Cricetulus griseus: one gene and its partners. The protein of the gene in region 5 purifies or fractionates together with the protein of the main gene of each other region. This does not show direct contact. Links are inferred from orthologs where the notes say so. Each region holds a gene or a part of one and is shown on either strand. Other genes may lie near its edges. The genes, in order: Gipc1, Myo6, Vapa, Gna13 and Arhgef12.

Evidence for each region.
Region 1: the proteins of Arhgef12 (region 5) and Gipc1 purify together in Homo sapiens (co-immunoprecipitation; 4 studies listed by BioGRID and IntAct, with this or other methods). This does not show direct contact. The link is inferred for Cricetulus griseus from reciprocal best matches to the Homo sapiens genes ARHGEF12 and GIPC1.
Region 2: the proteins of Arhgef12 (region 5) and Myo6 purify together in Homo sapiens (affinity purification with mass spectrometry; 4 studies listed by BioGRID and IntAct, counting the BioPlex papers as one, with this or other methods). This does not show direct contact. The link is inferred for Cricetulus griseus from reciprocal best matches to the Homo sapiens genes ARHGEF12 and MYO6.
Region 3: the proteins of Arhgef12 (region 5) and Vapa purify together in Homo sapiens (affinity purification with mass spectrometry; 5 studies listed by BioGRID and IntAct, counting the BioPlex papers as one, with this or other methods). This does not show direct contact. The link is inferred for Cricetulus griseus from reciprocal best matches to the Homo sapiens genes ARHGEF12 and VAPA.
Region 4: the proteins of Arhgef12 (region 5) and Gna13 purify together in Homo sapiens (affinity purification with western blotting; 3 studies listed by BioGRID). This does not show direct contact. The link is inferred for Cricetulus griseus from reciprocal best matches to the Homo sapiens genes ARHGEF12 and GNA13.

Annotation. Positions count from the first base shown.
Region 1 is NC_048596.1:160,760,479-160,766,918, forward strand, and holds the start of Gipc1 (PDZ domain-containing protein GIPC1), read right to left. Parts: upstream 3,869-6,440; 5' UTR 3,743-3,868; intron 1-3,742. UniProt on the Homo sapiens protein: May be involved in G protein-linked signaling.
Region 2 is NC_048597.1:191,193,909-191,199,801, reverse strand, and holds part of Myo6 (unconventional myosin-VI), read right to left. Parts: intron 3,975-5,893; coding exon 3,884-3,974; intron 3,216-3,883; coding exon 3,065-3,215; intron 1,090-3,064; coding exon 881-1,089; intron 1-880. UniProt on the Homo sapiens protein: Myosins are actin-based motor molecules with ATPase activity. Unconventional myosins serve in intracellular movements. Myosin 6 is a reverse-direction motor protein that moves towards the minus-end of actin filaments.
Region 3 is NC_048595.1:454,535,137-454,540,784, forward strand, and holds the end of Vapa (vesicle-associated membrane protein-associated protein A), read right to left. Parts: intron 3,414-5,648; coding exon 3,240-3,413; intron 2,492-3,239; coding exon 2,333-2,491; 3' UTR 1,730-2,332; downstream 1-1,729. UniProt on the Homo sapiens protein: Endoplasmic reticulum (ER)-anchored protein that mediates the formation of contact sites between the ER and endosomes via interaction with FFAT motif-containing proteins such as STARD3 or WDR44.
Region 4 is NC_048600.1:122,210,606-122,216,980, forward strand, and holds the start of Gna13 (guanine nucleotide-binding protein subunit alpha-13), read left to right. Parts: upstream 1-2,132; coding exon 2,133-2,415; intron 2,416-4,733; coding exon 4,734-4,960; intron 4,961-6,375. UniProt on the Homo sapiens protein: Guanine nucleotide-binding proteins (G proteins) are involved as modulators or transducers in various transmembrane signaling systems.
Region 5 is NC_048597.1:154,669,374-154,675,266, forward strand, and holds part of Arhgef12 (rho guanine nucleotide exchange factor 12), read right to left. Parts: intron 4,871-5,893; coding exon 4,795-4,870; intron 4,124-4,794; coding exon 3,956-4,123; intron 3,075-3,955; coding exon 2,987-3,074; intron 2,311-2,986; coding exon 2,224-2,310; intron 2,109-2,223; coding exon 2,029-2,108; intron 1,777-2,028; coding exon 1,543-1,776; intron 1-1,542. UniProt on the Homo sapiens protein: May play a role in the regulation of RhoA GTPase by guanine nucleotide-binding alpha-12 (GNA12) and alpha-13 (GNA13). Acts as guanine nucleotide exchange factor (GEF) for RhoA GTPase and may act as GTPase-activating protein (GAP) for GNA12 and GNA13.

The DNA of each region.
Region 1 (6,440 bases), on a different chromosome or scaffold from region 5:
TATAGCACTGCCTACTCTTCCAAAAAAAACCTGGGTTCGAATTCCAGAACCCATATGGCAGCTAAAAATTGCCTCCAACTCCAGTCCCAGGGAGGATCTGACACCCTCTTCTGCCCTGTGAGCTCAGGCATGCAAGCAGACGAAATACCCAAACACATAAAATAAAAATTAAAAAAAATTACTTTGAGGTTAGGCTAGCCAACATAGCAAGTTCTAGGACAACCAGAACTGCAAAATGAGACCCTGTCTGAAAGGGGAGGGGGACCACATTTATTTATTTGTGTGCATGTGTGTTGCCACAATTTGCATACAGAGGTTGTGGGGGTCAGTTCATTCCTTCTACCATTCAGGTACCAGGAATCAAACTCAGGTTACAGGCTTGGTGGCAGTCTTTACTCCACTGAGCCATCTCTCCAGTGTGCCACCCCTTTTGTGCTGGGAATTGAACTCAGGGCCTCAAATATGCTGGGCAAGGGCTCTACCACTAAGTTATATCCCATACCCCCAGCCCCACTTTGCATGAGCTCTCCAGTTAGGCTAGCCGGCCCCATAGGCCTTCCTGTTTATGTCCCCAGTGCTGGGGTGACAGCTGCAAGCCACCATGCCTAGCATTTTCACATGGGTTCTGACAGTCAAACTCAGCTGGCACAGCAAGCACTTTACCAAGTGCGCCATCTCCATGGTCTACATGGCCCTGCATTGTTTTCTTTTGCTCTGCTTTTTCAAGGAGGGTCTGTCTCCCTGCACAATACAGAATAAGCCTCACACTCAAGATCCTCCTGCCTCTACCTCCCATGTCCTGGGATAACAGGCCTCTTTACACCTGGCTGATTCAGCCTTACTTGGATGGTCTTTTTCTTATTGATTTGTGAGAACTCTTTATATATTCTGGGCACTTGTCTTTTACTGGTTCTTTCATCTGTCTGTCCATAGCTCTGTATCCCAGTATACTACAGACACTCACTGGCTATTTCACAGAAGTAAACTGAAATGAATTACATGGAATTGTATGCCACCACACTCAATAGAGAACAGGAGCAATAGCACCTCCTTGGTACACACTCTTTTGATCACCATTCCTTGTTCTATATTTGTTTTAAGTTTACTCTGTAGTCCCTGGCTGTCCTGGAACTTACTCTGTAGTCCAGGCTGGCCTCAAACTCAGAGATCTGCCTGAATGCTGGGATCAAAGGCGTGTGCCACCACTGCCCAGTTTAGGCCAAATATCTTAACTCGTCTGATCAAAAAGGAAACCATGTATATGCCTGGATTGCTCCTGGAACACTATTGGGGGTGTGTGAGTGCATGTGTGTGCCTGGGACAGTCCCCGCAATACTATTGGGGTGTGTGCTGATACACTGTCTTTCCTCACTGTCCTGCACCGCATACCCTGTTCCCCAGCCTCCTTTCTGTCTCTGTACATATTCACTGCTGTGGTTTAGTCCAGCTTTTGTGTGCCCTCTGGTGAGAGACCCAAGGCACTGAGGAAAATGAGTGACTAATAAACCAATGATGCAGACCCTGAGACACATGGCCTGGATGATGGCCTGGATTCAAGTTCCACCCTTGCTACTCACCAGTGGCACAGACAAAGCCAAGTTGCTTAGCTTCATGAGGCCGCAGTTTTATCTCCTGAGAATCTGGCAGAGTTTATGTCTGTTGGGTACTTACGGAATCTCATCAGAAAGTGTTGGACGTGTTATTATTTGCAGTGATGGAGACAGAAACTAGAATCTTTCATTGCTTGGAAGGCACTCTGCTGCCGACCCACACCTCCCCCACAGGTTCGGGGCAGGGGCTGTACTGCTGACCTGCACCTCCAAACTTCTTCAGTCTTTATTCTGGTCACATCCTTCCTTCCCTGGCCTAGAAGCATCCCAGTTCCTATGCTGGCAAGGCCTATTCCAGACTTCTCCAGGCAGCTGGCTTGCCCAGCCCGCACACAGGAGCTGCACCACAGTACTAGGGTCTATGAACTTGCTGTGTGCTACCCTGACAGAGCTTGTCTCTCAATGTCCCGGCTGCTATTTATCTTGCATCTTCATTTTTAAAATTTATTTTATTTTAATTTTATGTGTATGAGAGCTTTGCTTCATGTCTGCCTGTGCATCACTTGGGTGCCTGAAGAGGTCAAAAGGAACTAGTTAGAGATGGTTGTGACCCACCATGTGGGGGCTGGGAATGGAACTCCCAGCATGCAGTCTGTGAGCTGTCTTTCCAGCCTGTGTCTCTATTTTAAAATGCAAACCATCTCCTATCTCACAAAGGAATCTCACCGTATAGGGGAAAACTCGACAATAAAAAAATGTGTTTTCTGTACCAGGTACTCAATCACATCTATAGCTTCATTCCCTGTTCCAGCTATTCTATACTTCACTCTGCCTTGGGGTGTGTGTGTGTGTGATCTCCCCCTGCCCAGTGATCTCTGAGAGGTCACTCAGCACTTAGAAGGATCTGCAGTGGCTGCCCATGTTAACTTGTTGCCTGTTCCCCACTAGAATGCAGGGAATTCTGTCCTGCATTTGGAGGACACTTCCCTCCAAGCAAAACATGGTGCCTGGCACAGTGGCTGCTTAGCACTTGCAGGTGAACTGTAGAGTGAATGTCCTATAACCCTGCTTGTGAACCAAACCCCACCAACATGACTGCTAGAGAGCTACGAGCTCCTCCCCGCTGTCTGCAAGGAGCTGAAGGGAAGTGGGTTGGATGGATTTCCGGAGTTCAGCGCTCTCATCCCAAGAAGGGCCAGAAACTTAGCAACCCTGCAGTCACAGAAACGCTAAGTGGGAGGTGCAGGAAGCAGGGAGGGGGACTCCTGGGGCTCAGATAACTCCCAGTTTAGGGGACACCACACCTGTCGTCCCTCGCTCCTAACCCCCAGCACAGTACTACTTTGGGGAGGAGGGGAGGAGGCCTCTGATTCATTCTTGAAAAACCGGATCCTAAAGGTTTCATCTCTCCAGTGTTTCCGGGGCGAGTGGACGCACCTCTTGCCCCGCTCCCCCGCCCCGGCCTCTACACTCACTCTCGCTCATTTCTCTTCGCAGTAAGTAGACAGGGTGGGTGGAGGGGGAATGGGATTAAAGGGCCCACGTCAGGCCTTGCCTGGCCAGCTCAAGAGAAGGGACACGAGGGCAACTTGGAAGCTGTTTAGTGACCCGTGGGCTCGGGGAAGCAAAACCCAGCAGGTGCGGCTCCGAAGGGAATATGGGGGCGGCCGTGTGCAGTGAGTCCGGTGGCTGGCTGGTCAGGGACGACTTCTGGGACTAGTTTCTGGACTCAAGGCATGGGTCCCTCATCCCCACCGGCCACTTACTAGCTGTGTGACCTTGAGTGAGTCACTCCACCTCTCTGGCCCTGATCCCTCACTTCTAAAAGAAGTTAACAGCCCCTCCCAGGAGGCTGTTTTGATTCAATGTTGTGCACTGTAAGCGTCTGACGAGGAAGCGCTGGGTCCGGGCTAGCGAGGCGGGGGTGGGGGGTGGTCCGCACTATTACTGCGGTTGTTATTGTCTTCCGGACTCGGCGGCCTCGGTGCCCCCGCGGCCAGCTTTTGGGCAGGGGCCCGGGAGGGGTCGGGACCCATCACCAACAGGGAGCGTCCCGGGAGCAGAGGGCAGGGGCGGACCGGAGGCCCCGGCCGGAGGGGAAGGGTCCGTGTTTGGGGTCCCGACGCGGCCAGCCCCACCCCGCCGCCACGGCTCCACGCCCGGGAGGCCGCCCCTGGCCGGGGAACACTCACCTGCGCCGCAGCCACCCCGCGCGCCCAGTTCGATCCTCTGGAAACTCGGCCCGGCTTCTCCCTCGGCCTCCCGTACCTGGGCGGGGCCGGCGTCCCGAGCGGACCAATCAGCGGCGGCCTCCCATACTGGCGGCCAATGGGTGCCTCCCGTCGGAACGCTCTGAGGGATCCCTCCGCCGCACCTCGGTCTCCCCCCTGTACGCGCAGTGGTCCGACCTTACTCGTTCTAAATGGCGGCGGGCTGAACCATTGAGGGGCTGCGCGGGTGAGAGGACGGGGAGCTGGGCGGGAGCTGGCAGTAAGAGTCAGATGACCGGGTTTGGAGGACTGCGCTCGGCATCCAGGAAAGCGGGCTCGTTGGGAGGTCAGAGAGGCGGCCGAGAGCACACCCTCGCTCAGCTTCCCTCCCAGAAAGATGCTTTGACTCCAGGGGGTGGGCCATAGTGAATAGGGAGGGTCCCGGGTGTCTCTGCTTTTTCCACTCTACACAATAGACAAAGCAACCGTGCATTCATTCAGTCTTTCAATCTTTAAGTGCCCCTGCCTGGTACCAGGCTCGGTCCTGGCTCTACAGACACATGAATGGAGATACAGGGTGTGCAAAGGCTCCGAAGCTGCACAGAGAGCCACAGAGCACTTTGCTAGTAAAGCTGTGTAAGAATACACGATGGAGAATGTTTAAACAGTCGGCTTGTCAGTTCAGTACTGTGCAGAATCATAGATGGTGACCAACCAGTGCAGGTTTCCTCCTCCTCCTCCTCCTCCTCCTCCTCCTCCTCCTCTCCTCCTCCTCCTCTCCTCCCCTCCTCCCCTCCTCCTCCTCCCCTCCTCCTCCTCCTCCGCCGCCTCCTCCTCCTCCACTTCCTCCTCCTCCTTCTCCCCTTCCTCCTCCCTCATAGAAATGTATGATGGGGAAAAGGGTAGATTATTGAATCTCCTTAACCCCCAAACAACTGCTAATCCCAAAATACTTACATTGTTATATATTTTACTTTCTTGATATAAACTTAAGGTTAATTTTGTTATGCTATATTTATATTTCTACTCTTGTTTATGATACTATGTTTATGCAGTTTATAATAGTCAAACTTAATGTTATGTTAGGTTTAGCTAGATATACAGAGATATATTTTTAGATGGGTTGGTAATCTTCAAACACTTCAAAGACCTACAGAATATGACATTTAAAATGTTTTGATAATTTAAAATTCTTTTGACATGAGACACATCTGCTCCTGGCAGCTGATCTACTCCTGAGAGGATGATGGGCACTGAAGTCACTCCATATGGAGTTTGTTTCCCTTTTAGCAAAACTGGCCTATTGGGTAAAGAGCTGCCCTTGCCTGGACTGCTGACAGTAAGTATGCTGTCCAATCCAGACAAACAGGACACAAGAAAAAGTGACTGCTGAACCTTGCCAAGAAAGGTTAGGAGAGTCCTTCAGATTTTCTTGCTTCTGACAATGGAAAATGATATGTCAGATATTCTAGGCCTATAAGCCAAAATTGGATGCCCCAACATCACCAAAAAAAAAAAAAAACCAAAAAACCAAAAAACAAAACCTGAGGTGACTGTCCAGAAAGCCAGCTGTTTCTGTCATTTCCTGTATCTTTAAGAAGTCGCTTGCTTGCCCTTATTCAGGTAATATTATTCCTTCTCAGGTCTTTGATGGAGTTGAAGATAGATAATTATAGTTATAGTTTTTCTTAGTTATAATAATAGATAAATGGCTGGGAGGTAGTGGCACACGCCTTCAGTCCCAGTACTTATGAGGCAGAGGCAAATGGATCTCTGTGAGTTTGAGGCCAGCCTGATCTACAAAGTGAGTTCCAGGACAGGAGCTACTCAGAGAAACCCTGTCCTTTGCTTTTCAGCAATCAAAAAATTCAAAATAAACATAATAGCTAACCACAACATGAATGTTACCTTGGCTTGAAGTTTTTCCTGCTAAGCACATTAGATAATTTCATTTTAATTATGTCTGGGAAAGCACAAAGCAAGGCAAGGCCATATCCAGATTCAGGGTACACCCAGGACAGCTCTCAGCATATCCTTTCACCAGACTGGATTCTATAGCTATGTTCTGACATCCAAGAACAATACAAGGAACAAAATACTTGAGGTAATAAGTCCTCTGCCTTTTCTTCTGGAGCCCAAGGCAATGTCCACCATATGTCATTCTTTGACCATGTTCCCACAGTTGGTTATCCCCACAGCTTCTGTGCCACTGTTGCACCAGCATATCATTCAGGCAGATCACCACTGTAGATCAAAGGGTTTGTAGATGGTTGGTAGTTACCTTTCTTCTCTGGAAGCATGAAGAATACCTTCCACTACATGAACACTAGTCAGTAGGGGTAAAGGATCTAGTTGGTACTGTGTTCAATGAGATATGTAGGTGTTCTCTTCAGCAATAGGGACTTATCATCATTTTGTGGAGAGCATCCAATAGTCTTGCAGTAGCCCGAGTTGTTTGGGGGTTTCCATGGGACCCCTTTGTCCAATGACTCAATTATATATAATCCATTCCTGGCATTGGAGATTTCACTGGTGGTGAAAAATGTCTAGTTGGGGCATTGTCTTCCCCATTGTTTGGTGACTCCATTTTGTTTGTTGTGGGAAAATCTTTTAGTACACTGTAGAGATGTGTCTCTCATAAGGTGTCTTCTGATTGGTTTAATAAAGAGTGGAATGGCCA
Region 2 (5,893 bases), about 37 Mb from region 5:
TGGGTGGGTGTGTCAAATGTACACTACACATGCATCTTAGCATCACATGAATCCCATTAATATGTATGGTTAATACGTTACAAAACAAAATTTTCTGGGCAGGGTGGCTCATGCCTGTAAACACAGCACCAAGAAGCAGTGGCAAGAGGAGGGCTACAAGTTTGAGGACAGCCTGGTTTATATAGCAAAAATGGAAGTCAGCCAGAGCTAATTGACCCTGTCTCCAGAAGCCAAAGAATAAAATACAGCTAGATTGTATTAAATTAAGTTTTTGTGATACCACTCACGCAAAAAGTTTCAGACTTTAGGGCCAACAGATAAAGGCACTTGCCACCAAGACTGATACTATCAATCCCAAAACCCATGTGATGAAGGAGTGAACCAACTCCACAAGCTGTTCTCTGATTTCCATAAGCATACCATGGCAAAGAACACACACACACACACACACACACACACACACACACACACACACACACAAAGCTCACACGTAATAAAAAAATTTCAGACTTCAAATTTTCTTCTTAGTTTTTAGAGTTACAGATTAGGAACACCCAACCTGTAGTTAACAAATTCATGTAACTATATAAAATGAGCATTAAATTTTTTTGCAAACTCATTCTAAAATTGTTTGATTTGTACCAGGCGTGTTGGTATGTGAGTATAATGCGCACTCAGAAGGCTGTGGCAGGAGGATGGGAGTTCCAGACCAGCTCTGAATCCCTGTCACAATAAATAAATAAATGAAGAAATAAACAAATATATAGATAGATAATTAAATACATAGCTGGTAATCATCTGATATGAGTAGGACATAGCTTGAGAACAGCCATCATCTATCAGCCTTAGGCTCCTAGTCAGAACTCTGCAAATGGCTTACATCCGCCTCTCCTCCTCCTCCTTCCGCCGCCTTTGCTCGTCCTCTTCGCGCCTCTTCCTTTCTTTCTCCATCTCCTCTTGAATGCGCCTCAGCCTCTCTGCCTCCTCTTCTTGCTGTTTCTTTTTCTGCAGTGCACTGAGGAGATCTTCCGAGCTTTTAACTAGCGCATCATACTCTTTCTGTATTTGTTCCCTTGTCATCATGGTGGACTTAAAAAACCAAAGAACAAACATGTCCTTAAGAATCACCTCCTCTGCACAATGTGGATATGCTTAAACCACCGAACTGTACGCTTTAAAACGGACACAATGATAAGTTCAATGGTTTGGGGTTTTCACAAAAAAAATAAATAAATAAATAAATAAAATAAAATAAATAATAAAAACCTCTAAGATATATATAAATAGCTGGCAAAACTGATCAACAAAACTATGTTAATATCTTTTTTTTTTGCCGGCGTTGGTGGCGCATGCCTTTAATCCCAGCACTCGGGAGGCAGAGGCAAGCGGATCTCTCTGAGTTCGAGGCCAGCCTGGTCTCCAGAGCGAGTGCCAGGATAGGCTCCAAAGCTACACAGAGAAACCCTATCTCAAAAAAAAAAAAAAAAAAAAAAAAAAAAAAAAGATTTTTTTTTTTTTTTAAAACAGTTTCCCGTAGCCCAGGGTATCCTTGAACTAGCTATGGAGCTCAGGAGCCTCACAAACACTAGGATTATAGGTGTATACCATCGTGTCCAGCTAGTCACATATTCCTTGAAAATCTTCTCCACACATAAATACTTGAGTCTAGGTCCTCTCAAACAAGCCATCAATATCAGTAGCAGGCTGTGAGAAAAGCTGTATAAATGTAGCTTTAAAATATTTTTAAGGAATGACTATCTCCTTTAGCCAGTTTGCTTTCTTTACTTACACCATTCAATTAGTACCTAAGGAATGTTGGGAAATTACAACTAAACCTGTTGGATGATTTTCCTGGGTTAATTCTGATTGAAGCCAGTCTCACCTTTGATCTGTAAAATCAAAATCTACTTGTAGCATTTTCTTCCTTTTCTTCATTATTTTTTTCTTTCTACCTCTAATATTTAACCTGTCAACAGGAACTACAAAAGGCTTAATTTAAGTGCATTGACTTCTGAGTGCTACTTGAGAAAACCTGTAAAACACCCTAACATATAATTGAGGAAATTGAAATAAAGATGAAATGTGGTAACAAGCATTATAGAAAATATTTTTAGTCACATTGATATTCAAGCAATTGAAAAATCAAACCTAAAATTGCTCCACTTTCTCCTTTAAAAATGAAGAAAGCTAAGTGCTACTTTTAAAATAGCTAAGTAAATTATGAAGGTCATGTGTTAACCACAACAAATCATGTATCCTAACAGCAGAGGTACAAAGTGACACACATAATTATGATGGAGAACTATGTAAAAATGTATGCGTCCAAAGTATGATTATAAAGGAAACGGTAACACATATTATCTGAACGCTTAGTGTGCTGCTACAAAAGAGTGTTGGATGACTTTCGCTCCATTTTCAACACTGACACATTACTTTTATAATTTAGTAGTTTCATTTCCGGGACCTGAGGACGTAGCTCTGTAGAAGGGCATGCTCAATGAACTTTGCTCAAGACCCAGCACCTCCAGAAAGAAAAATAAATACAATAGAAAAAAATTTGTTTTGGAAAGTAGAAAAGCATAAAAGGAATTAATTTACATTAACCCTCCCTGGATAATGACTGTAAAAGCTTAACAACAAAGTTTTAGTATTTTAGTTACTCTCTACAGGGTAATATTTTGCCTAACAACAGACAAAAAAAATCACATATAGCCGGGTGTTGGTGGCGCACACGCCTTTAATCCCAGCACTCGGGAGGCAGAGGCAGGCGGATCTCTGTGAGTTCGAGACCAGCCTTGTCTACAAGAGCTAGTTCCAGGACAGGCTCCAAAGCCACAGAGAAACCCTGTCTCAAAAACAAACAAACAAACAAAAAATCACATAAAGATTATCTTTTTAATACAAAATTTTTTACATATTGAGAAAAAATTAATGTGGGTATCTACTTTTTAATGTTTCATATCTTGAATAAGTAAGTGTGTTTTCCTGCATAAAGTTCAATATCAATAACAAGAAACAGTAAATTATATAAAAAGTTCAAGTTAGCTAGATGAAAATGACCCACCTTAATTTTGGCCATCAAAGCATCAATAGAAATTTCCAGATCTTTGATTTGTCTGTTCACCTCTGGCTTCCCATCTTTCAATGCATTTACTACTTCATTGAACTTATCGAGTCGTTTCTTCAGGGTGCCCACCTTAACCAGGCCATCAATGCTGCAATAGTAAGGCTCCATCAGCTAGTTACCTCACAAACTAATGTTCTAGGAGGACTCTCATTGCTAAACAGTGAACACTGCGGCTACACGGGCAGGCTACTTCTGTCTTCAATATTGTTTAGTAGTCTGTTCAGGTCTCTCATTAAGTATGAAAAGAATCAAATACACATAGGATTAGCATTGATGGCCATCAATAACATGGAGGCCAGCTATATTTAGACAGAAAAATGAGGATTCATTGAAATTATAAACTCAAATGATCCAACATTTCTTTGAAAAGGTGTGGTGTCAATAGCTATCCAAACTTCCAAAGTTTAAAAAGTAACCTGGCAATACAAATTTTAAGTAAGATGAAAATGAAATATGTTCAGTGAAATGACACACCAGCAAAGTAAGATTATTTTATGAACATTCCTGAAATTACCACCAGGCTGGTGGGTGTCTTCCAAAACAGCATCTAACTTGGCATTATCAAGAAACTCAAATCATACAGTAACCAGAATGGCAGTCTCTCTCGGTCTTTCATTGCAATCTTTAAGTGTTCACATGTCTGCCAGCCACTCAAACCCTGTGGTAGAACAGCAAGCTAAGTAACGAATGAGCGGATTCCAAATCCACAGCACAAACAAGCCATTTGTATAGATCTTCAGACACTGTTCATCTTACCGTGGTTTGTGTCTCCTTTTGCAAAGCCACATTCGAATCGTTTTCTGCATTTTAATGCACGCTTCAGCTCGATATTGTATTTTGTTTTTCACTATGTGTAAGAGTGAAATAAAATGACAGAAACATATTGGTTTAAATAGGACATAAATTAAAAACTCATTCATTCCCACAAAGCAATTCTCATAAAATCTTGATGTATATGTTATTCCAGTGATCAGAGGCAGGAAGTCTAAAGTTTCTTTAACTTCTTAAAAATAATAAAAAAAAAAGATGGATGTGGCTAGCACTCTATTTCAAATGTATTCTCAAGTGTGCAACACTACTATTAACAAACTTTTCTGTGCCATATTTCTCTTAAATGTTCTATTAAATATTATAACTTTCTTTAAAAAGTTAACCTGCCAAATGAGTTTAGGAAACAGAGTTTACTTCCTTCTGGAAATGCACTATAGACAAAGCCGAAAGCACTGAGCCTGTGGGAAACTTTCATATTTTACTTGGAAAATAATGGGAAAAGAGGTTCTGTTGTCTTTTTTTTTTTTTTTTTTTTTTTTTTTTTTTTTGGTTTTTCGAGACAGGGTTTCTCTGTGTAGCTTTGGAGCCTATCCTGGCACTCACTCTGGAGACCAGGTTGGCCTCCAACTCACAGAAATCCGTCTGCCTCTGCCTCCCGAGTGCTGGGATTAAAGGTGTCTTTTTATCATAGTTTTGTTTTTTTTTTTTTATGGGTATGCACTATTGTCTAACAAAAGGTCTCAATAATAATGTGCCTAGTTCCTTTGTGCTAGACCAAGTAAATTTTACTCCCCCATTAGTGAAGATTTCTCTACTAAGTCCTGCCACACAAGCAGCACTATTTCAAGGACTCCGGTAAGTATGGGAGCATGGTGACTGATTCCCACACAGCTCCCAACGTTAAACTTTCACCACAGACCTTCAAGTAATCCAAAGTATTTCCACTCACTCATGTTTTAGGCCAGAAGTAAGTAGCTGCTACAACCTGGCAGAAATTCACTCAAGCTCAGCTTGGTCCAGGGTACTGAAGAGTGAGTCTGAGAGAGGAGGAGCAGGAGAGGCTGCAAAGATGAACTGAAACCCCAACTACAGTCTAGGAAAAATGGCTAGGATTCAAACTTTGCCAGCTATTGAATGAGGGCTAGGAAAGTTTGGGGGTTAAAAAAGATAAGTGGGGTGGGGAGCTAGTAAACAATTTTTGGAGCTAATGAAGTTATTGTGTAAGTGATGAAAAGAGGTTGCCCTGAGGTATTGACATTGAAAATAATGGGTTATACTATCCAAAGGCAAAAATCCATATAGTTTGATAACTAATGAGATTTCATGAATAAGAAAAGAGAGACATTACCCAGGGGTGTAGCTTGCTTAGCATTTGGAAGGCCCGGAGTTCAATACATAGCACTTCAAATTAAATAGACTGGGGGAGGGGAAGCTAGGGGCACAGAGAGACAGAACACAGATCATCTATTGAGAATACCTAATGTAGATGCCATTTAGGCAGAGGGAGAATAGCTTTAGTTAAAACTGGAGAAAATGAGGAGGTCAAATGTGGGGGTCAAAGAGAGAAAGGGGAAAAAGAAGACAGTACATTCTGCTGCTTAAGACAATAATGAAATTAATACTCCTAGAACATATCTCAGATAGTAGACATCATCAGACCTTCAAAAAATAAAAGTCTGAAAATGCTGGCGGAGGAACCAGGGAGCCATTCCATCAGACACGAGAACCAAAGCTGCCAGCAGCATCAATGAGACAGTCTCACTGCATCCCTCAAATCATCTCACTGTCAAAACAGCAAATCTTGATGTGAAATAAAACACAGTTTGCTGAGGACTTTGGTTTTTTTGTTGTTGCTGAGACAGAGTCTCACTGTGTAGCCCAGGAAGGTCTTGAACTTTCTTTTTCTTTAATTTTCTTTTGTGTATAAATGTTTTGCCTGCCTTTATGTCTGTGCATGCAATTCCTACAGAGGTCAGAAGAGGGCACTGGATCCCC
Region 3 (5,648 bases), on a different chromosome or scaffold from region 5:
ACAAAGGGGCTGAGAGACAACTAAATTTCAGGGAGCATTTCCATAAACAGGATTTTTTTTTCCCTTTAAAAAGCAATTTAAGCAATACCAAACTTGAACTTACCACCAACACTGATCTTACAGAGGACTTTAAACGGAGCTGCTGCTTATGTACTTATGGAATGAAAATGTAAGATTTTTATCATCTTTTCCAGTTAAAGGGGAGGGAGCTTACTGGGGCAGTACTGCATATTGCAATGGGGACATTCCTTGCAGAAGCAAGCTAGTAATAGGTTAAGCATTAACTTCTGGTTTTTCGTTGCTTTGTTTTTTCTGTCAATGTGGTGATATGTCGTAATAAAAGTTTGCCTGGAGAATCAGAATGCAAAGCAAGCCACAGCAATAAAGGATAGGCAGTGGTGACCACACCTTTAATCCCAGGACTCAGGAGGCTGATGGACTTCTGGGAGTTCAAGGCTACCCAGGACTACGTTAGAGTCGATCAGTCTAAAAGAGAAACAGCTCACACCTTTAATCCCAGCACTAGGGAGCTCTTTGCAGCGGGGGGGGGGGGGGGGGGGGGGGGGGGGGGAGCCTAGGATTCTGAGGCTTGGTGGAGAGCAGTGCAGTCAGGAGATGCAATCTAAGGTTCCATGGATCGACCCTTTGGTCTGAGCATCGATAGATTAGAACTCTCTAGTAGCTGGCTGCTTTGCTTCTCTGATCTTCAGCTTCAAGCCCAGTATCTGTCCCTGGGTTTTTATTATTCATGCTACAAGTTAACTGGTACATAAGTTTTATAAAAGAGTTATCATAGAGTATAACAATACATTATATATAAGCCATTATAATCTGAGAAATTAAAAGGCAACTAACACTTGAGAAGACTTCACTCTTGCATAAAATGTGCAGACTTGTTACTTCACTGAATATTAAGCCTTGCAACCCAATTTCTTTTCCAAGAGAATTAAACTTCTACAAAACCAACACCTATTTTGAGAATACAAATTTACCTGTAATAAACTATACTCAGTTGAAAACGGTATATTTTTCTGATTATAAAATTGTTTGTATCAGTATGAATAAATTACACACACACACACACACACACACTCTTTTGAAATGCAACTGTGTTTCACATGTTAACAGACTAATTTGCAAAAATAAAAGTTTTGATTTTCAAAAACTAAATCCTTCAGTCAGACAGTGATGGTGAACGCCTTTAACCCCAGCACTGGGAGGCAGAGGCATGTGGATCTTCTCTGAGTTCAAGGCCAGCTTGGTCTATAGAGGGAGTTCCAGGATAGACTCCAGAGCTGTCTCAAAATAACAGAAAAGAAACCATGGTAAGAAGGGAGTGAACTGAACAACAGCCAGCTGGCACACACAAGAGTCATCAGAGCTGACTTTCTATAGCACTTTATCTCTTAAAACCAACTGTGGTATTCCAAAATACCTACATTAGCCTGAAATTGTAGCTATTTGTTTCTTAGTCTCAAAACCTTTAAGTTACAAGTAATGAAGTACTGGGAAGAGTTTCACACAAGAGAAAATATAGCATTAAAAAGGCCCATTTCTGAAGAGTAGACTTTCTGGCTCACCCCAAACCTGCCCTGCCCTGCCCTGCCCTGCCCTGCCCTGCCCTGCCCTGCCCACCCCACCCCACCCAGCCCAGCCAGCCCAGCCCAGCCCAGCCCAGCCCAGCCCAGCCCAGCCCAGCCCTAATGACTTGGCAGACACAAACAAGCTATCCGAGCAAGAATCTGTTAACAGTTTTATTTTTTATGTTAAATACCATGGGACAGGATCGTAAGGATGAAAAACTCAGTCAACAAACTGCCTCCTCACAAGGGATAAGAAAAATTCTGCCATGATATTAGCAAAGGGAAAGAGAAAATTTACACAGTAAGAGGCACCAGTTCCCCACAGAAAACCTCTTGGCATTTCCTGAATGAGTGAGATTAGCAATCTAAATAAATCATATTTCAAGAGGTAACAGCAACAGATAAAATTTAAAGGGATTATTAAAATAACATTTACAAGACTGAACAATTCTTGAACTCTTATTAAAACCACAAAGAAAGAACAATTCTTTATTTATGAATCTCATAAAGGACAGAATGTGCAACTGACACCTGCTAGTGATGATCTGGTAATGTACAATTTGTCCAGGGGCCCAACAGTGTGTTTCATTGTGTTTTCTAACCGTAAGAGATCATTAAAGGCAAAGCCTATATGACGCTGTACACACAAAAAATGGTCACCGCGGGCCATACTACCAATGAAATGGTAGGTAAACAAATCTTTTTCTGGTCGAGAGAAAAAAAAGAACTAGCACTCTGCATGCTTCACTCTACAAGATGAATTTCCCTAGAAAGAATCCAATGAAAATGGCTGCGATTACAACCAGAAGAGAAGGAAGAGGACTGGTGACACTCTCCCTGAAGGGTGCAGCTGAGGTGGATCCCGGTTTGTCCGAATGCGCTACCTTTCTAAGTCTTAAGCCTTCATCCTGGGGAAAATACACAAATCACAGTTTTAAACAGGTAACACATGCAGGTGAGTGTCAAAGCTAAAGTTCCTACAGACAGAAAGGAGATCAGCAGATGTGTGTGGCTAGGAATAGGAGCGAGAATTAACTGCAGTCTTCCTTGGGAACCTGTGGAACTGTGAAGAAGTCTACAACTGGACTAAAGTGACAGCTGAAGAACTATAAATCTGCCTAAACAACTACAGTCATGTGATGTAAATTACACCTCAGTAACACTGACTTTTAAAATACAAGTTAAAGAGTATATTCCTATCAAACCATGCAAGCTTACTTCCATTACGTCCTGTGGTATCATAAATTGACTACAGCGGTCAGCCAAAAGCATTACACTCGGCAGGATCACTGACTCACTACAACTTGGAAACCCACATGGCAGACTTATTTTGTAGTAGACAAAATATTAAGGATTTAGAGAAGAGGTGTACTTTAGGGTGAAATACCATTACCATGGAGTTTTAATATGATCACACCAACATCAAGATATGTGTGAAAGGCTACCATGGCACACAGACTGCATTGCAGGGTTCAGGAAGCTCTCAATTAGACTGATAATTGTGCTTTGTGTTAGTAATATCTTACTCCATGTAAAAGAAGGAACTGCTCCCTTCCTACTGAAATGGTTTCATATACATAGACCCAAGGTTAAGTTTCTATAAGTCATTCTTCTACCTTCATTCCAATTAACACATTTTCAAGCAGGAAAACTTACTCTCAGGTGTCGGTTTTCTTCTGACAGCTTCATCATTTCTCCCTGAAGTCTCTTACACTCTTCCATCAGCTTCCTTGTTTCCGTATCATTGAGAGAAACACTATGCGGTTTTGGCAGGGGTCCGTCTTGTTTGGATGCATTCAGTGGAACAGCTTTGCTAGGTTCCATATCATTCTGTATTTCAAAGACATTGGGAATCTTTAACTAAAAACATTTATGGATTTTAACTAATAAAAATCTAAACTCTACATTTTTTCTAAAAATGCTCTAAATGTGACAAGTTTCAACTAATTTCAACTTATTTCAAATAAGGTCATCTGTAGACAATTTTCAATGGAGTATGTCACTACATACCAGTAGTTAGGTAAATCAAAATGAGCAGCCTATTTCATCTACCTCTGTACTCATGGTACTTACCTTAACACAGCACTTAAAAGGTATCATAATACTTGATATTCTACATTCTTTCATCCAGAATCGCAAAAGCTAGAAGAGCCATTTCTCTCTTGTTATTTACCCCTAAACACAGGCTTTGGCCAAGAAGAGTCAGGCTAAGAAAATATGCTAACTCCAGGCAATTGTCAATGGTCTGATTCTGCAATCAAATGAGGTTTTAAGAATTGGAAGGTACAGGGCAGCCTCATGGTCATCCCAATAAACTTTGCAGCTACCTAAGAACATACAGCCAAAACCAATCTAAACCCTAATGTCTACTAATGGAATAAAAGAGCTAAAAGACACAAATATTGAAACAGTAAGCAAGCAAATCACTGCAGTGAGTGGAGGAAGCTATCTGTGGTCTTAAGCACAAATGATCCTTCAAAGAGTAAACTGTCCAATTAGTGTGATTCATTGTGGTATACTATTTAAGAAGTAACTTAAGACAACTTTCAAAACTACAAGGTCTAAATTAATCCTCTGACTAACATTGTTTCTAAGACTGTGGTCCAAACTGTTTCCTTCATCCCAATATCATTTATACCACCCCACACCATAATATCACCAATATAAAGTCACCTTTTTCATTTTAGACTTTTAACTGCTAAAATTTTTTAGAAGACATAGGAGGTTAAGTCAGTAATAGAGCATCTGATAGCAAGCAGGAGACCTTGGGTTTGCTACTGACAGACATAAACACTACAAATAAATACATAAAAAGGGCAAGCTTTATGCAGATATAAACTGCTGATCAAGGCATTTACCAAATTACATTTCACAGCATCACACAGCAGTCATCTGTACCAGGATCAGAGACTGTGCAGAACCACTCTGGTGGCCAATGGGACTACAGTGTTAATGCTGTCAACCAGACAGGTCTAGAATCACCTAGGGCTGCAAAATTCTTTCTTTTCTATACTGGGTTAATCGAGATGGGGCAACAGACCCTAATTGTGAGTGAGTGAGTGAGTGAGTGAGTGAGTGAGTGAGTGAGTGAGTGAGTGGCACCGTCACATGGGCGGGTCCTCAACAGAAAAAAAAAAAGGAAGAGCAATGAGCACCAGCATTCACCGCTGTCTCCTGCCTGCAGACTACCAGCTACTGGTGCTAGACTGCACTGCTCCTCAAACCAAGTCTTCTTCCTGAAGCTGCCCGTGCCAGTACTTTCTGAGGGCAACAAGGGGTTCTAGTGCACAACCCTGACTACCTGACCTGCCCGCACATTTCCCACTTTTCAAGTGTGAAGAGACTTAATTACCTCAATTTGCTCTGAGTTTCTCCTGCTGACATTTGTTCTTTACCGCAATCTCCCTAATGTCCAACCAAGTCCATCTCTAGTATAAAAAGTCTGTACCTGATATATTTTGCTAAAATATTTACTCTATTTTCTTGACAATAATTAAAATTCACTTCAAACTGAGTTTTCATACCCCATCCTGCACAACCCAACCTGAATTTCAAAGGGGAAAGCATGTGCCTCCCTCTGTAAGGCAGGCAGTACTCAACAACAGACGAGTCCTCAAGTGTTGCCTAACAACGAAGACAGTGCTGGGCAGCAGAGCATTTGCCTCACACACATAATGGTCATTGGCTCAACCCCAAGTACAGGAGCAAAAAATGCAGAAGAAAATCATACTGTTGGCCCAGTGTTGACTACAGAATGATATATATGAAGCTAGTAGTGGAGAGAGGGGAATTCTAATGACTTTAAAATAAAAAATTAAAGTCCCAAATAAATGTGGGGTGTAATGCTCACCATTAATCCCAGCAGACAGGGGACTAGGACCATGAAATAAGCCAACCTTAGCACCTCGGGTGAGAATAGGCTACAGTGTCAAGACTGTATGCCATACATTCTCCACCACTGTATTCTTTCTGCCTGTCTGCGGTAGCCCCACACAGAGATTTCCACTGTACTAACTTTGTAGGGGCTATCAGAAAGGAGCTAGGGACTACACATAGAAAGTCAAG
Region 4 (6,375 bases), on a different chromosome or scaffold from region 5:
TAGAGCAGCCAGGCTCACCCCAAGCCAAATTCGTTCCAAGGAAAGGTTCCTTCCATTCAGGACTTTGAACAGCCTCTCTGCTGCACTACATGTCCCAACAAGAACTGGCAGGGCAGGAATCCCTTCCTGCCTCCTAGGCATCCTTGCTTTTCCATTATGTTGTGCACACCTCAGGAAAATGTAGGTAGTTAATCTAACGTAGGCACTTCCCTCCTCTGTTTTTGCTAAGGAGTTCATCTTAGAAACTGGCAGTAACTCAGGGGCTTTGTACTACCTGCCTGTCCTGGGTGGAAGCTATTTTCTTCCTGGCTCTAGAACAGGGCACTCCTAACAGGGAGTGGTCAAAGCTATCTAGAGGCTGTCCATTCACTCCCAGCAGGCTTTTGTCTTACATTAGGCCTGACCCTACATCCATGGATGTTGGCTGTGAACTGAGCCCACTTTGCAGATGGTCTACTCTGCAGGCTCAGGTCCACTCTAAAGTTTTGGTGGGTGTAATAGGAAATAATTCCACTCCAGGTATTGTTTATTGCAGCCAGTGTACTGAGTCACGGGCTTCTCAGTCACCAATCCAAATGACAGTAACTGATTGACTTAGTGCTGGTTTTTAGATTTAAACTTGTGCACTGGCCTCTCACTGTGCTGACCTCTTACCCCTGGATCCTTAACACACAGGAAGTTCTCCAGTTGCACGAGCCCAAAACCAGCAGCAAAAAATATTGAGACAAAACCAGACAGGCATCAACCGCCTTTCCCCTTTGAAACTGACAAAGAATGAAGAAGTTGGCTTCTGAGGTCCTTGCTACACACTCACACAGGCAACCCAGCTGTCATTTGTCACGTGTGTCATCAGGAGTCTTTTCAGGTGTCCTGGCCTGATCTGCTGTTATGACAGGAAAAAAAAAAAGTCTCTTGCCAGTCATATCCTCTGTAATCTGGCAGGAAACCTAAAATGTCCTGCCGCAGTCCTATGCTGTAGGCTTATCTGCTTCCTTGGGAAGAACGCGCATCACAGTGTCCGGTTTAGGGGGATTTTCACCATGACCTCACCCTCTCCACCATTCACTGACCTCAGCAGGCATTACCCAAGTCACAAATGAAGCTCGGGTGGGATCCACATTAGCGAGCCAGCCACCAGAGACCTTGCTAGCACATCTCACATGAACAGCATCAACTCTAACTCTTCTCAAACCAGGGCAGGTATCAATAATGCCCTGAACTGCTCCAGAGGGGTGTTGATCAATAAGACATTTGACATCTAGATATCCTTCTAGACTCAGGATGGTAGAATGGCAAGGGAGTCGCTGCTAATTAAATGCGTGGGCTTGGATTAAAGCGCTTGCCTGTAATCCCAGCAGTGGAGAGGTAGGCTGAGGCAGGAGGATTGCCACAAATTTAAGCCAGCTTTTGCTGTACGATGAAATCCTATCTCAAGAGTTAAAATAAGGGGGGGGTGGTGGAGTGGGGGGACAAAATGTGATGAAGGAAGGAGGAGGCACCCAGGAACCTTCCAGGCTTGCGGTGGTCTGTGCGGTAATGTCCCAGCCAATGATCTCAAAATAGGAGGTGACAGCAGGCGGCGGGCGAGTCACTAGGGGAAAGGGCAGTGAGAACTGCAGAGAGAAGGAGTCCCTAAGAGAGTGGCATCGGGATGGGCTCACTCGCCTCGGGGCTCCGGGAAGCGACGGCACTAAAGGGAAACAGAAAGTCCGGCCCGGCAGGCGCGCGCCCAGCCCGGCCCGCGTGACTCGCGGGGGGCTCCGCCTCTCACCGCGCGCGCTCCCGGCCGCAGCCTCCTCGGCCAGCGAGCGGTGGGGGGGCGGAGCGGGACTCGCGCCGGCCTCCCCAGCGCGGCGTGCCTGCGTGCGCGTGCCCGTCGGGCGACGGGGGCGTGCACGCCCGGAGGGCCACCGCCCCTCCCTGGGCCCGCCCTCCCTCCCACCCCTCCCACCCTCCCCCGGCCGGCGCGGCCCGCCCTGGCGAGTCAGTCCTCGGGTTCCCTCCCTCCCCGGGCGCGCTCGGGCCGCCGCTGCGCTCCCCGCCCTCCAGCCGCCTTGCCGGAGCCAGCCGCTGCCGGAGGAGGAGGTGGAGGAGCCGCAGGGGCCCGCCGAGGCGGCGGCGGCGGCGGCAAGATGGCGGACTTCCTGCCGTCGCGCTCCGTGCTGTCCGTGTGCTTCCCGGGCTGCGTGTTGACGAACGGCGAGGCCGAGCAGCAGCGCAAGTCCAAGGAGATCGACAAATGCCTGTCGCGGGAGAAGACCTACGTGAAGCGGCTGGTGAAGATCCTGCTGCTGGGTGCGGGCGAGAGCGGCAAGTCCACCTTCCTGAAGCAGATGCGGATCATCCACGGCCAGGACTTCGACCAGCGCGCGCGCGAGGAGTTCCGCCCCACCATCTACAGCAACGTGATCAAAGGTGCGGGGGCGCGGCGGGGCTCGGGGACCCGGGGACCCCTGGGGAGCCGGGCCGGGCACCGCCCTCACCCGCCGGTCCCAAGTCTGAGGACACTGGATCGGACCAGATCGGACGGGCGAGCCCGCGAGCGAGCGAGCGAGCGGGTGGGCGCGCCTCGGGCGCCGTCCCGTGCGCCGCTGTGCCCTGGCCCCTCAGATCCGGGGCGCCCCGCTGTCCCCCCGTGCTACCCCAGTGAGGGTCACGGTCGGCCCCGCACCCCTCGGCTGGCCTCGCCCCCTCCGAGAGGGAAGTGTGGCGAGCAGGGTGACTCCGGGCAGCAGGGCGACTGGTGTCCTCCCAGCACACCAGACAAGCCCACCCCATCAGCAGCCCCAGGTCCCACACTCTCAACCCCTCCCTCTTCTCCCCGCCACGGGTGGGTGGGTGGGTGACCCTAGAAACCGGCGCAGATACCCTTCCAGCTCTGGGCTTCCTAGGCCACCTCTTGAGTTAAGCAAGTTCTGGAACCGCCGCAATGAGGAAACTTTTTTTTTTTTTTTTTTTTTTTTTGCCCTGAGACTCTTGTCAAGGGCATAGAGTGACAGCCTCTGGGGCCTTTTGGGGCAAGAGGTATGAAACTCAAGGGTGTCGAGTTTACTGAACTAGCATCAGGAGAGCCTATTAAAAAAAAAAAAAAAAAAAAAAAAAAAAAAAAAAAAAAACCTAGCACAAGTGGTTTTATCGCCCCAGTGCTACAGGATGTTTGTACTCAACAGTTCAACATGTTGCTTTCTTTCTCTTTTGCTTAATAACTCGGAGCAGGAGGGGGAATAAAACGGGCAACATTTCTAATACTTAAATGAATGTATGTTTAACTACGAAGACTCTTTGGCTTAAAAGTCATAAGAGACCTACAGAAGTTAGTGAATATGTGTGGTGTTGGATCATGGGCGTTACAAATTCTGTTTGACAATATTTTAAAATTAAAATATTGTTCCTCAGTGAAAAACACACGACATCTTTATTTCCTAGCATTCAAGGAAGTTTTGGAGGTGGCTCTTGTCATTTGAAATATCACCTTTCTTAAAAATTTTTCTTTAGTGTTATGTATCTTCTACATAAAAGACATTGTCAAAACTGAGGCACAGAGCCCTATGTTTTGAGTGATTAAGGAGTCACCCTGTTTTATCTGGGACTTCGAAGCAAACTACGATCGTAGATCTTTTCAGTTGTTATGTGGCTTTATTTTTTTTTAAGTGGGTTTTTTGTTGTTGTTCAGGAAGTACATGAAGCAAACCCCTTCATGTCTCTCCTCCCGCCTCTTCAGGATTTCAAATGGGGAAAAACTAGAGAGGGAGGCATTGTAGGGCAATGAGGGGAGAAGGCTAGGCCAAGAGCTCACAGTCCACGGCTCTTTCTTAGCCTGTACCTCTGCAGTTAAACTGTAAAGAGTGCTTGTATTTAGTCTGCCCTAATGTTTAGCACAAAACTAATTAAGGTCTCTTCTAAGGCTGTAGTGTACCTTGCTAGCCCATAATTGAAGGTACCTTTGTATCCTGATGCAGTTGAACTTAAAGAATTATGTTAATGAATAGACTAAAGTATTCACTGTAAGGTAAACACCTGCTTTTTTGATATATACTGGGCCTAAGAATTACTTTGAGCATTATTGTGTGATCAAGCCTAAGTCTAACTAGGCATCTTATTTTCTTGGGGTGATCAGAAAGTTGAAAGCAAAACAGTTTTTTCATGTATCCCAAGAAAGGACTTCCTAATAGATTGAGACAGAAGTAACAGTTTGGTGCTAAGAGTATTGAGTTTGAATTGACCTAAGTAAGTGGAGACCTCTGTTTGTGTATCATTTTGCAGTTGGTTTGGCTTTTAGGTAACTGTAAAGCCAGCAGGTGACTGTACTGATTTGAAACTGAGTCTGAGAGTGTCCTGGAAGAAAGTATTGGTAGGAGCTGAAGGACTCTGACTGAACACAGTGACTCAGGGCTGGGCAGCATTATTTATTTTTTCCATTTCTGGTTTTGACCTCCTTCCACTTCAGACATGATTTTATGGATGACAGCATATTAAAATCCTTCCAAGAGAGATTTTTGTTATCGATATTTACTTTCCAAGGCTTCTACTTTTAAGACAATGAACAATTGTTTTTTAAACCTCTGAGAAGATAAAGGTTCTGTTTTGATTCTGGTCTCCATTTAGGGAGTGGGGGTTCTGTAATAGCTAAAAAAAATTAAGGAACCAATACTGAATAACACTGGGGTGAAAGGTTGTGATGGTATCTTAATGACTCTTCCTCACATTTTTTTTTTTTTCCTTTTTAAACAAAGGTATGAGGGTGCTGGTAGATGCCCGAGAGAAGCTTCATATTCCCTGGGGAGATAACAAAAACCAGCTCCATGGTGACAAGTTGATGGCATTTGATACCCGTGCCCCCATGGCTGCCCAGGGGATGGTGGAGACTCGAGTTTTTTTGCAGTATCTTCCTGCTATAAAAGCCTTGTGGGATGACAGTGGTATACAGAATGCCTACGACCGGCGCCGGGAATTCCAACTGGTAAGACATTCACTTCTCTAAAATGTTTAATTTATTATTTTTGTTCCTTTGGTGTGTTTTTACTTATATGTGTTTGGGGGGCATCTGCATGCCATAGCATATATGTGGATGTCAGAGGACCACCTGCGGGTATTGGTTCTCCTCTAGCATGTGGGTTATGGGCATAAAACTCAGGTCCTCAGGCTTGGTGGCAAGTGCCTTTACCTGCTGAGCCACCCTAGCTCTGAAGGATACTTTGTTAAACGACTTTTAGTAATGTCTGGTTTAGCCCACTCCATTTCCACTCCACTCCAAACTTCCATGGTGTAATCTGTTCATTCAAAAATGTAGCCTTCAATACTTGGTTTGCTGTGTGTCCCTTTCACTAAGCAAAGGTCAACCCTATAGATTTAATGAAGCTATTTCAGTGGTTAGAAAGTAATGTCATAATGACTTTCTGATGACCTCTTTCTTTTAAGGATAAGTCCAGTGAGTGAGTCTGGTTGTTCACATGTGCTAGTTAGCCTCTGAAGCACTTATTTTATGACAGAGATGAGTTTGATAGGGAGAGATTAGACCCTTTTTTTCTCCTTACTTTGTAGACCAGGCTGGCCTTAAACTTGCAGTGACCCTCATTTCTCTGTCTCCTAAGTGCTAGGATTATAGGCTCGAGTCCCCATGCCCAGCTGAGAGACTACTCTGTAAAATATTTTATAAGAAATGAAATACTGTTTTTGTGTTCTTGTTTCACATGGGAAACAATTTCCATTTGTTTTGCCTCCTTTATCCTAAAAGAGATTATAAAGTACTCCATAGCTCTTAGGTACTGTTGAAGGGTAGGAAAAAAGGATCTAATCCAAGGTAGAGTTATAACATGTGTGGGGCTTGGGGCTCATGCCTATACCCTAAGCTCCTTGTAAGCCAGAAGCAGAAGAATCACAAGTTCCAGGCCTGGGTGACACAGCAAGGCTCCGACTTAAAAAAAAAAAAAAAAAAAAATACAAAACCAAGAATTGAGATAGCATTTTTAACCAAACATTTTATAATTTAATTGTGAGCACTTTGATTGTATTTGCCAAATTCCAGAAAGGATCTATCAGCAGTAGCAATGTAGCCAGTGTGCTTTCCTGTAATATAATTAAAGTGACAGTTAAAAGTAAAACTGCTTAGGAAATTGTTCAGGTGGTCCTCATGGGCGTGTCTAGACAAGGATGTACAACTCACCCCACCCCACCCCCCACCCCCCCCATCCCACCCCCGTCTTCCTTGGTACAGTCTATGGTCAGTAACAGTCTAGACTGTTCTAGAAACCATGTCTTAAATCCTTAGTGTATCGTATGTTATGTGCTGGCTAGTACAGTTCATGCATGTATACACTGTTTCATATTTTTGTATTGAGCATCCGGCAGCATTATATATTGGAAAGTATAAATTTA
Region 5 (5,893 bases):
TTCCCATCCCTTCTCGCCTAAGAACACATCTTAACAATACACAACCAAAATATTAATCCTACACAATTTTTTTTTTTTTTGCTTGTTTTACTTTTGGTTGTTGGAGACAGGGTTTCTAGCCTTGGCTATCCTGGAACTTTTTCTGCAGACCAGGCTGGCCTCCAACTCACATAGATCTCCTGCCTTTGTCTGGAATTAAAGGTGTGCACCACTACACCCAGCCTACATAATCATTTTTGTCTTGAAAAATGCAATCAAAAATATTATCTTCTACACAACACTTAATATTAAACTACACCTGACCAGAGATAAGCATCCTGAATAGCAAGACACTCTTATGTTAAAGGCCTAAATACTTTGCTAGCTACGCCAGCAAAGCTAAATGTTACGCTTTTTCTTCTCTAGAGTAGATTCTGTACGTCTAGACATTATTTTTTTTAATAATCTTCCTTAATAGTGAAGACAATAAAATTGTATAATAAACTTAAATTCCAATGATTTAGTAGTAGCATATGTAAGTTCAAAGGGAATATTCACTAGTTTTTAAAAATTACCTCACTAGATCCCCTTTCCTTTGCCCTCACAGCCACAGAAGTCAATTGTTCTAAGTACTGGGTGACTCTGTACTTCCTTGGTACATATTCTAACCCTTTTAGCCTTGAGCCTAAAGAACTGTAATAGCTGACTTAGTAAGGGCACTCCAGGCCTCTTTCCATCCAAATTCCTGAGTAGCTCTCAGCCAGATTAGTAAGTTTTTGTCTGTCATACTTAGCTATAAAACCTCACATGGTCCTCTGTAGCTACTATTCTTGAACTTTATCCACCTCACTGTACCTGAGAGATGTGCTATCTTTACATGTGCAATTGTCGTTTCCAACATGGCTGGAGCTAGGGAGGGGCAGCTAACAGAGGCTAGAAGCTATTGTGAAGAACATTAAATCTCCACACAAAACGTAAAACGTGTAATTTGGAAAAGCTCCTAAAATTCTGTGATGTGTCTGTCCGTCAAATATGGAGGATGTAACCTGGTATTTAAAATTCACAACAGTGAGTGAGACTCTTAATCCATCTTCAGGATTCCTAAATCTATCATGTACACTCCTCCAATCTATACTGTGTGCAGACCAGTGGTCCACTCACTGTTCTCTGAGCACCCTGTGCTTCCTGCATGCACTTCTCATCTTTCTATTACTTCTGTCTGAGTGGTTCTATTATTCTACACATTCATTCGGATCTTAATCACCCTTCAGGATGACAAGCACATCTGTCTTTCTCTGCTGCTTCCCTTCTCTGACCACACCAACCTGGACAGATTTGACAAAAAAGCCTTATTACTCCTGGAATGTTTGCTTTGAAAGGTGGCAGGGGGGTGAGGTAAGGTTCTTATCATCTTCCCAACTAGACCATAAATTTCTTGAAGGGAAAAATATCACAGCTCAAACTTTTTCTCATGAAAATCTATTGCTTTTTTCTCTAAAACGCTTTCCAGTAACCACATACTCTGGTACATAGTGTGTGCTACAAGTTAGGAAGAAAACTTACGATTTCTCAGTGCATCCAGTGCCCACCGCTCCTCTGACACAGGCAAGTGTGGATGTGGGACTGGGACTGGGTAACTGCCATCATCTTCCTTCAGTGTCCCATTTGCACACTGCTCCTTTGCAAACTGTGTCGCAGTCACAAAGAGATGCTCTGCCTCTGATTTGCCAGGGGTATTCAGTGAATGAGACTGTGGTTTTGACGAAATTAATGGCGATTCTAATCCCAAAACTCTGTCTGTTCAGAAGAACAGAAAAGGTATAGTCTACCTTAAGGGATATTTCGTTTTCAACATAGAACATTTAGGAAACGATGGGGGTGGGGTTAGCAACATAAGCTACAGAGATCATGTGCCTGGGAAGCCCACAGCACAAAGCAATGCTATACTGCCACACAGAGGGCTCACAGGCAGCATCTGCTAAAGAGTGTGGTTGGTGCCAGCACAGAGCCTATCTATGTCCTCCAGGAAGTCTTGTCTATGCAGCTCACCTGGACTGTGTAGACCAGTGACTGAAAGACCATGGTGCTCCACTTTTAATTTGGATGGTTCTTCTTCGTCATTGTCTCCTCTGTAGAAAACAAACAAACAACCCTCCCCTGAGCTTGGAAAGATGTCCCAACTTCATGGCATTCAAATGAAGAACTATGCATGTCTTCCTGACAGAAGCCCAAGTGCACACTTACTCGCAAGGTGTTGACTGTGGGAGAGGAATTGGCTTTGTGGACTGCTCCTTCACTGATGCAGCCATTCGACAGATGAGGTCCTGCCAGCTTCAGGGATGAAAGGAGTCCAAAATGCAGGAGGAAAGCAGAAACACCCCATAAATACACTCCAGATAAAAAGAGAAAACAAAACCCAAACACCACCATGCTGCCAGAGAACATCTTTATTTTGGCACCACTTCTGTAGAGACTCTAAAATACATTTTAAAGAAAATTCTAACATGAGCACATTACCCATTTAAAAGATTAATTTGGCACTTCTGAGAACTTTTTTTGTAGAAAATTCACTTTAAGTAGAATAAAATAAAAATGAGATCAAGCATCTCAAATGAAGCAAATTCTTAGAGGAATATTCCCAAAAGGGTACAAGAGAAAGTACTTGATTTCTATAGTGGTTTTCAGAATCCTAGTATAAGGTGCAGGCTGGAGAGATGGCTCAGCAGTTAGGGAACCTGCTTGCTCCTCCAGAGGAAGCCATCCACCAGTTTCCAGCACCCTCAGTCAGCTTACAACCACTTGTAACATTAGCTCTAGGGGATCTGACACCCTCTCCTGGCTTCTTCAGGCAACTGTACACATGTGCACACTCACCCACTCACACCCACACACACACTCACACACACAAATAATGAAATAAATCTTAACAAAAAACAAAGTCTGTGGAACATTTATACTTTGAATAACAGAATATCAGTTAGAAAAGGTAATAAAATCTGATACATACACCGTCTTTTCAGAAACTGTCTGTGCTACCAATTCATAAATTTGGGCTCCATTATCTGACATGGAGATGACGAATAAGGCTTTGTTATCTAGAAAAGAAGAAAAGAAAATTTACTTTACCACTATGATCAAGGAAGCCATGAGATATTTCCAGATGCAGATATGAATATTCTGCATCTTAATTTAGATAAATGTTACATATGTCCACTGTGCAAAACTTTATCAAGTTTATAAATTTAAATTTTCTGTAACTCACCACAAGCTACATTATCTGCAACTTAAACGAACTTTATAAAAGTCAACATAGTAATTCATTAGTAACAAAAATAAGTCAAAGTTCATATTACTTGGACTCAGTGAGTTAAAAAAAAAGAAAAAACACATTAAGTTGAGACAGAAAAGTAGGGGAGGGGACAGGGATTGGATTTAACCAAAATTTGACATTATATGCATATATAAAATTCTCAAACAATAAAAAATAATTGGCCTCATAAAAGTTCTGTCTTAATAAAGGTTATGTCCTGCCCAAGTGGAATGTGCTTTGGAGTTCTATCAAGCCTGTAATTCTGAAATTAAAATGCTTATATGAAAAGACACAGACACAGACACACACACACACACACACACACACACACACAGAGTCAAAACACCCATACACACAAAATAATAAAATTAAATAAAACAAACAAATAAATTCACTCACCTCTTCATTTTTCCCAACAAACAAACATACCATTTTAATGACAGCCTTCTCACTGGAGTTACCCTCAAAGTACTCACTACCTTTGCTGGTATCGATCACCAATTTGAACAGAATAAACACAAAAGTAAGTGTATTTAAATTTTCAAATGCAGACAACCACTGAGACAACCTGTCTTACGACAGAACTACTGAAGTCCATTGTGCTGCTTAAGCAACACTTAGTATCCTGTGAATCTAGAAGCTAGCATCCTCAGTAGACACACTCACCTGTTGCCACCTGTCGGACCAACACTGTGCTCAGCTTAATGACTGGACTGAATGTGTGTTTGCTGTCAGCTGTGGATGCCAGAATCTTACTATGGCACCGTAACACCAGTCTGTCATCCTGCTTTTGCAACAGTACAAGAATGTCTTCTAGCAGCAGTGTATAAAGATCTAGAAAAAAAAATGCACACGTCAAGTATTAAGGGTAGAAATTTTAAAATAATGTGAAAAAGGAAATTATTTCTGGAAAACCTAGCTAATCTTAAAAACTGATTTGCAAACTATTTTCTTTTTTTTTTTTTTTAAAGATTTGTTTGTTTGTTATGTATACAGTGTCCTGCCTGTATGTATGCCTGCAGGTCAGAAGAGGGCACCAGATCTGATTACAATGGTTGTGAGCCGCCATGTGGTTGCTGGGAATTGAACTCAGGGCCTCTGGAAGAACAGTCAGTGTTCTTAACTACTAAGCCATCTCTTTAGCCCCCACAACTATCTTCTTTAATTTCATTTTTAATAATTCATTTTAGTATGTTTTGTGGAAATGTCATCTGAGAATTATAAGAATTAAAAAAAATAGTGCTCTCAATGCAAGAACTTAAAAGAAAGATCCATCAGGAGATAAGATGATGGAAATTGAACTGAAGTGAGACAGGTTTCTGCTAAATTCCTAAATGAAATGTTGCATGCTTTACACTTAACAAACACACAAGCAGATCTCCTATAAATGTTCAGATAGTGTGGAACAGCACTGCTAACTGAAAACTGTGAATGATTCTGCTTCCCACCAGTAGATTTTCTTATTCTCTCCATCCTCTCCAAAACTGAAAGGACCACAGACTTACCTATGCTTTTATCTCTATTCACCTTCCAAACCAATGGCCCTTCGTGAATCATCTTTCTTTTTGTTAAATCCAAATTCTGCCAAAGTAAAAAGAACAGTACACAAATTACTTCCAAGACCATTTCATCAATGGGGTTACAGCCAGCATAACTAGTATCTTTTCAAAACAGTTTTAATATGGAAGATATCATTTACATTCAACCATGGTTATGCTACATGTCTTGAAAATGGAACAGTCCATGTTGTAACAGCTTGCACAAAACCTTCTGAAAGAGAAGAATGTTATTGAAAACATTCTCTGCAGACCTTCCTCCAGATGAGTAATAGCTTATGGACGGCATTACAAAGAACCACAACATGCCCTCACTCCTCAGCCACAATAAAGCAGATACAGATGATGTGTGCAAGGCTTCTGAGTTCTAGAATTCTAATACCTAGCACTGAAGCATTTTTCAGCCTCCCAAAAGAAGATTTAAAGGACAGCATCTATTATGAAAATGCCGATTACTGTCTCTGCCAGCAACTTATTTATCAGTAAAAGCTCCATGTTGTAGCATTAGCATCTCAAGGGGAGCTCTCATTCTTTGGCAGGTAAGGGAATACATACAGTAGTGTGTTTTCTGACATAACTATTATAAATGACATAAAGTTTATTTTAAATAGATATCAAATAACTGTAAACTGTCATTTTCTTTTTTTTTAAAGACTTAAGGCTGGGGAATAGTATCATACATCTTTAAAAATCCCAGCTCTTGGGAGGCAGAGACAGGCAGATTTCTGTAAATTCAAGGCCAGCCAAAGCTGACTCAGGAAAAAAAATACTTAATATCCTTCAAAAGTTATTAATACTAAAGCCTAGGCATAAGAAGTAGCAATTCATAAATATTTAACTATTCCTGTATTGGTTTCAACCCTCAGGCTTTTCAAACGTGTCATGGAAAAACTGTCTTTCCTCAGTGATCCAAAAAGTTCTTATAGTGAAGCAGTGAAGTACAGAGCAACTAAAATCTAATAATGAGTAGAGTTCCCAAATCTTCTAACTATTCCTGACACACAGTTACAGCTCTCACAAAAATACTCTTCTAATAAAGATAAAAGTA